Linked DNA regions of Arabidopsis thaliana. The gene in region 2 interacts genetically with the main gene of each other region. Each region holds a gene or a part of one and is shown on either strand. Other genes may lie near its edges.

The links. A genetic interaction does not mean that the proteins touch.
Region 1: of HUA2 (region 2) and PEP, changing one enhances a phenotype caused by changing the other (phenotypic enhancement), as found in Arabidopsis thaliana (one study listed by BioGRID).

What each region holds. Positions count from the first base shown.
Region 1 is NC_003075.7:13,195,010-13,198,763, forward strand, and holds the start of PEP (RNA-binding KH domain-containing protein), read left to right. Parts: upstream 1-2,059; 5' UTR 2,060-2,270; coding exon 2,271-2,630; intron 2,631-2,864; coding exon 2,865-3,117; intron 3,118-3,276; coding exon 3,277-3,425; intron 3,426-3,507; coding exon 3,508-3,754. UniProt on the Arabidopsis thaliana protein: Regulates vegetative and gynoecium development. In concert with HUA2, antagonizes FLK by positively regulating FLC probably at transcriptional and post-transcriptional levels, and thus acts as a negative regulator of flowering.
Region 2 is NC_003076.8:7,784,246-7,787,999, reverse strand, and holds the start of HUA2 (Tudor/PWWP/MBT domain-containing protein), read right to left. Parts: upstream 2,166-3,754; 5' UTR 1,828-2,165; coding exon 1,717-1,827; intron 1,309-1,716; coding exon 1,232-1,308; intron 1,009-1,231; coding exon 1-1,008. Other genes in the region: NCLPP7 (nuclear-encoded CLP protease P7), read right to left, coding at 3,174-3,592. UniProt on the Arabidopsis thaliana protein: Transcription factor that functions as a repressor of flowering by enhancing the expression of several genes that delay flowering including FLC, FLM/MAF1, MAF2 and SVP.

The DNA of each region.
Region 1 (3,754 bases), on a different chromosome or scaffold from region 2:
AAGTTAAAATGTGGAGAGTGAGAGAAAGAGAGTCGCGTGGCTATTGGGTAATGAGAAACGATTGGACCCATTTGGTATCATTCGGAAGTGATATGTGGCAGAGGGCAATCATACGTTTTCGTCATAGCGTTAGATTTTCTTACAGTTTCTTAGAGATTATTTCGATTGTTTGTGTCAAACGAGTTTAGTATGTTACTGCTATTGAACAGTAGTATTTTCTCATGTATCGATATGAATACGTTTACTCTTTTTCTTTTTTTCACACAATCAGATGAATATAGGGATGAATATACGTAGTTTTGTCTTTGTCATATACTAGATTATATTCCCACCAGTCATTTTCCTATGTATTTAACAAGACAAGACGTAGAAAAATGAGAATTTTAGTACTTGAGTTAACATATTTAAAGATTATATTCCCATCAGTCATTGAACATATGTGTACATATATATACGAGGAGAATCTATAACTTAGTAAGGAGGGAAATATGAGATTTTATTTCTATAGAGAAAAGAAAGGATAAAACCTCTCTCTGCCAACACTGGCCACCGTCTCCAAAGTCCATCCCAGTTAATTTTTATTTTTTGGAATCTTCTTATGTTATTACTCTTTCTTTTCTTATGACAACATGTCAACATGTGACCTGTCGTCTTCTACTTTCTTTTCTTCAGCTTTTCTCCTTTTAAGCAGAATATTCAATCTATCTTCAAATTCATATCTGAGTTTTGTACTATAAAAGAAAAGCAGACATTAAAAAAGATTTGAATATAAAACAAATGTATTGGAGTGGTAAAGCACATCTTCATCAAACATTTTTAAGGAGCATCAATCTAATTGGTCGATGGAAATGGAAGTAAAGGAATAGAAGATTGTTTGTGTTCCATGATGATGTATATATATGCCTAATTAATGTTACTGTTAGTTACCTTTGGATAACAAAGATATTTAAAGCGGTTTAATGCTTATTAACGGTTGATGGATGTTACCTTTTCTTTTTGACATCACGGTAGATGTTACCTTTCATAGGTGTTGAATAGACAGATTGGGGACGTTAATTAGTAATGATGTAATTAGTTAGAGCTAAATAGTGCTAATAAATATATGTAAGAAATTGTTCGGAAAGTAACTAAAAAAAGTTCAATTCATGCAAGTAGACACTTCAAATGTGATAAATGTATAAGTATGATGTTAAGCATGTGACCCTTGAGAGTCGATTAGGGCACTGTACAAGATTGACCCAAATAGTTACAAACTACAAGTGAACTCTCTTCCATTACATATCTACGTGTATTGAGGGGACCATTATCGTACGTATACACGTATATATGTTTTGCCCTAAATTCCCAATTTTAATTCAGCATGGGGGACGGACTCATTCAATAGCATCGTCTTTCACTTTCCTTCTTCGGTTTAAAATCTCATTTTAGTTTCTGATCCAAAAAAAAATGTTTGATCAAAGATCAAAAACTTAGATAGAAACAAACTGTTTTTTTTTCTTAAATCAAGAAAGTCTAAAAAACTAAGATACAAAAAGGGACTCGCAGCGGCAGAGAGATAAGTATCTTACGGGCCAGCAGATAATTTCTATGTTACGTCCCTTTCATCCCCATTGCATATTGCATATGAAGACAACGGATATTAACTAAAATCTTCCAAAATTACGGTATAATGAATAATAATACACTTCTGTCTCATATAGTATTCTATTATATTGTTCGAAAATGTTCTTATTTACATATCTATTTATATTGTTAATTGATTGCGGCTATTACTGTGGATATTCATCGTAACTATTTTAATCAATACAAATCATGCAAAATAGTGAATGACTTAGAAAAGTTGAAACCACATATGATTGAGTTTAGGGGGAAAAGTATAAAAGAAAGCATGACTAGTATGTTACTATGTAGTAAGCTTCAAACATATATTTAAGAAAATACTATATATAGATACATATGATATAACATAACATTAAAATATATGGTGAAACATTTTTTCTTAATATCCTAAGCTTCAAACATATACCCAAGTAGAGAAGAGTTGGAGTATTCATTCTTTGGTTAAACATAGACCTAATACATAGCTCATATGGACAATTTTTCGACAAAACAAAAATGATAGCAAATGGGCTAAAATGGTTTCATATCGAAAAGCCCAAACCATTAAGCCAAAACGACGTCGTACGATATGACAGCGGCGATTCCTATAACCACCACCAGAGGTTAAAAAGTCTCTCTCTTTAGCTATCTTTTTTGTGTTACCGGTTCAAATGGCCGCCGTCGCAGATTCCGTTGAGAACAACGGTTCCATAAACCTCCCTGAGAATGAAAACCTTATACCGGCGGGATTCAGTGCCGCCGCATTGCTTGACGAAAACTCTGGCGCTTTCCCTGAATTGAATCAGCCCGATAGCTTAGCTGCTGCTGAGACTACCTTCCCCGATACGAACGATTCCGCGGAGGAGAGGTGGCCAGGTTGGCCTGGTGATTGCGTGTTTCGTATGATCGTTCCGGTGACTAAAGTCGGAGCTATTATTGGACGCAAAGGTGACTTTATAAAGAAGATGTGTGAGGAGACTCGTGCTCGTATCAAAGTCCTTGATGGTCCTGTTAATACTCCCGATCGCATCGTTAGTATCTCTATCTCCTTCTACGTGATTTACTGTGTTCAAAGCTAATTCGAATTTGGGGATTTTTAATTTCTATTTCTAGGGTTTCTTAATCATAAGTAGGAAGATTCTTGAGTTGTGATCATTAAAGTTGTGAACTTTTATCCCCTAGTTGTGCAATTTGATTACTTTATGGTTCCAATTATAGTTTGAAGTGTTCACTAAGTTAATTACTTGCTCAATGTTATGTTTTAGGTGTTAATATCTGGTAAGGAAGAACCAGAGGCCTACATGTCACCGGCAATGGACGCAGTGTTGAGGGTGTTTAGACGTGTTTCAGGGTTGCCTGATAATGATGATGATGATGTTCAAAACGCTGGAAGTGTCTTCTCTTCAGTGCGTTTATTAGTTGCTTCAACGCAGGCGATTAATTTGATTGGAAAACAAGGATCTTTGATTAAGTCTATAGTAGAGAACTCTGGTGCATCAGTTCGTATTTTATCAGAAGGTATTATCTATCATCTGCAGTTTTCTGTTTTTACCTAATTGATCTCTTTGTTTGTGATTGTTAAAGTTTAGTTTTTGCTATTTCAATTCATGTCTGTTTTTTTTTCTAAAATTGGTGTCTTTGTTGCCAGTTTCTTATTTCTCTACTTTTTTCTGCCAGAGGAAACACCGTTTTATGCTGCACAGGATGAGAGGATAGTGGATTTGCAAGGGGAAGCTTTAAAGATTCTTAAAGCATTAGAAGCCATTGTTGGACACCTTAGGAGATTTTTAGTTGACCATACTGTTGTCCCTCTCTTCGAGAAGCAAGTAAGCTTGCTTGTTTCAATCGAGATTATTCCTTTCCCTTTTTTTTCTTTTCTGAATTATTGTTATCTTTTCTTATCTTCAGTATCTAGCTAGGGTCTCTCAAACTCGCCAGGAAGAACCGTTAGCTGAAAGCAAGTCATCTCTGCATACTATTTCGTCAAATCTAATGGAGCCTGATTTCTCCCTCTTAGCACGGAGGGAACCTTTGTTTCTGGAGCGCGATTCTCGGGTGGACTCACGTGTTCAGCCTTCGGGAGTTTCTATCTACAGTCAGGATCCTGTACTGTCTGCCAGACACTCCCCAGGTCTTGCTCGGGTTTCTTCTGCTT
Region 2 (3,754 bases):
GAAAAAGAAGGAGAGGTAGCATGCTCCATTGTCTGTCTCTGGCGCTTTGTATATGCAACTGCTTCTTTATCATATTGAAAATTTCCACCGCGAGCACCTAATCCTAAAACAATTTCACGCTTAATATCTGATACAGTCCCAGTAGAATCAGATCCATCATCAATTTCACACTTTACTTTATTGTCTGCACTTTCACATCGCGGCTTTTTAGCAGCACGTGAGCTTTCATCTACTCTTGGTGCAAGCTTACCTTGTTCACTTTCAAGCCTCCTTTTCTTTCCGGAAACCCCAACCTTGATGCCAGGTGAATTTTCATGCTTATCAGCAGACACTTTGGAGCTGGTTTTCTCTGTCAACAGACCTTTCGATTTTTTGGAATCAGAGTTACCACTGGCAGTTCGACCACCAGGCACATGTGAGTTATTGCTTTTGTCTCGATGAACTGTATCTTCACCTTTTCTATCAGAGCCACCTGCTTCCTTCTTAATTCTCTTACCGTTAGCCAGCTTCTTTTGGCCATTACCAAAATGTTCATTGCAAGCACTACCGTCAGTTCCTTTATCAAAATCTTCTTTCTTTATTTTAGGGTCAAATGAACTATGCTCCAGTGACTCGCTAACAGGGGATGTGGTTTTGACCTTTGATTCCAGAAATGAAGATGAATCTAGCTTCCTTATCTCAGCCTTTCTCTCCTCACCATTATTCTCATCTAATTTGGGGAAGCAAGGATCCACCCTAAAATTAAAGTTATCAGTTCTCTCAGACTCAATGACAATATGATCTGTTCCATCCACTATCTCAGCCTTTGTCAAACCAGGTTCAGTAGCATCCAGAGAATCCTCATCGCCCAAAGCATTTGACTTGTGATTCTGCAACCCTTCAAATGCAGTGCAGATTTGCTCTACAGCTTGTGCAAAGTACTTGACAGTTTTACCTTGACATCTTGCTAATAGTTTGCTCTTTGCCTCACTAGTGAAGGCTTGGATATCAGGTGGCGCAACAAAAGCTCTGCAGTAAAGGAAGATAACTTTGTCAATGATCAGTTTGTAAAAGACAAAATCAACTCCAAAGATATTGTCAGCCAAAAAGAAAAACACTTGGTAACATGTTGAAACACCTGATAACCGAGGTCTACTACTTAATTCCTAGCAACATGATATACTGACTAAAGTTCATATACCTTTCTGGATGAGAAGGTACCAGAATCAAAGAATAAAAGAGAATAGCTTACATTTCCTCTGTTCCAAAGAACTGAACAAAGTACTTCTTTGGGTCTGGCGCACGATCCCAATCTTCAGGCCGGCTGATCTGAAACTCAAAACCAAATTACTTCACAAGAGAGACTAACTAAAGAGAATTGTATTAGAGAGATTCGGAAGCTCATTATTTATCGAGATGAATAACATGTGTGTTTCATAATTCAACCATGGAATCTGACCGAGTAACTAGATAGATGAGTTAACTGACTTTCAAACCAACTTAATCATGAAGCCTAGTATCTCAACAAAAAGAAACAGAACACACTAGAGCTCAATTCGACGAAGTTAATGTGTATTCTAGAATTCGTAACGATAAAAACAGAAGACCCAACAAGTTAAAGATGATGACTATGGACTTAAGGACTATATGAGAATTCAATTAGAGAAGAAGCAAAAAAAACAAGAATCTGTGTAAGAAAAATTAAAACCCAATAGAGGAATCATAATGATAACGCACCTTGGCAGGCCAAGCAGGGAAGCCTTTGACTTTGGCGAGAACCAGATCACCGAGAACCAACTGCCCTTTGGCTTTGGCCTTGCTCGCTCCTCTTTTACGCCCAGGAGCCATAGGCGAGACCTCTATAAACCCTAATTTTGAACGCGAAATTGGAACACCCAACAGAATTACGTATTCCAATCCAACCCAGACACCCAATTAGAAGAATTCTCCGATTCCTCCTATCCGAAGATTATTCCACCGGAAGAAGCTCGCTGATTAAGGTAGTAGCGGAGACAGCTACGGATCACGAAACGAGAAACAGCGACGTAGCCGAGAGAAAGAGAGAGCGAGATTGATCCAGACAGAGAGAGATGAGGCGGTCGCGAGAGAGAGACGATGGGGTTAGGGCTGAAAGAAGGTGAAAACTTTCCAAGGAGTTTTTGTGAGAAGTTTGGTTTACTGTTGTCGGCGTTTTTTCCCCTTTCAATTTCCTTTTTCACCAAGGAGAGATCGAAATCGAAAAAGGTTTTTCCTTATTTTCCAATTTACCTTATTTTGTAGTTTAATCTCACTACTCCTAAGTCTCAACCAAATATATTATTAAGTCATTGGGTCATTTATGTCCTCTTTTCTTGTTTACACTTTCCTACACGTTTCCATTTATACTTTTAAAAAAAAGGAAAAAAAAATCATGTTTTCCATTTTTACACATTATAGAACCAACAAAATCATATAAACATGTAAACCATAGGATAAATTAACAATTCTGCTAGTATTTAAAAAACTTTTATTAGAGTGAGATTGTCCAAATATAATTCAGAGTAACAGAAGCAAACACTAGCAATTGAAGGCTCAGCTCAACACGACAAGACAACACCGTACAAGAATTTTCATAAAGATCTTAAGATTCTGTCCCTAATTCAAAGAGCATAATCAAAGACCAGTGTTAACACAAGAATATGATGTGTTCTAACTTCTTCTATATAAAAAGAGGCAAATCAGAATAGATGTGGCTTTGACTTGATGAGGTAAGCAAAAACATGAAACCGAAGAACATCGATCAAGAGCATAAGGAAACAGCAAACCCCATCTTCTAACATAAACTAACCAACTAGAACTGGGGTTTCTGAAACTAGACAATAATCTCATCATTTTAGACTTTCTAGTTAGTATAAAATGATGCATAAATCAAAGATTTGCAATGCATCAAACTGCACATAAAATTAAGACCCAAAGCCAAGCGTTAATCCAATATTCATTTTACTGAATCAGATATGAGACTGTAAACACTAAACATGCGAGGAAAAGATTTCAGAAATATAGTCATGATTGATTTATGAATGAATAAAAACAGTTTGAGAGATCATGCCCTCAGAGCATAACTTCATCCATAGAAAAAAGTAATCTAACAGGATCAAAGCAAAACTGGTAAGAGGAAAAGAAGAAAATTTATTACTTTGATTACCAGTTACTTCCTAACTTGAACTCTTATCTTTGCTTTCATTTCCAACTGCATCTTTCACCAACTCCAACGGTCTTTCATCAATCACTTCATCGATTATTCCAAACGCCTTAGCCTCTTCAGGAGTCATGAAATGATCCCTATCCATGTTATTCGCAACCACGTCAAGAGGTTGACCCGTGTGTTTGACATACAATTCATTTAACGCATCCCACACACGAACAATCTGTTTTGTATGAATCGTTATATCTTTAGCCTGTCCACTATATCCTCCTGAAGGCTGATGAATCATAACAGTTGCATTTGGAAGTGACCGCCTTTGCCCCTTGGCACCCGCTGCCAACAGAAGAGAAGCCATTGATGCAGCCTGACCCAAACAAATTGTGCTAATAGGAGAACGAATGTACTGCATAGTATCATAAATTGCAAGACCTGTATCAAAGACAAAGATTAAAGATGCGTCACAGACTCACAACAAACAATTTGAGACTCAGAAAGTGTTAACTCGTCACAAACCAGACACTCTTGAGACTGTGGACATTAAAACTAGTAGCAGGAATCAAGTTACAAATCCACAGAAGAACAAGTATCAAC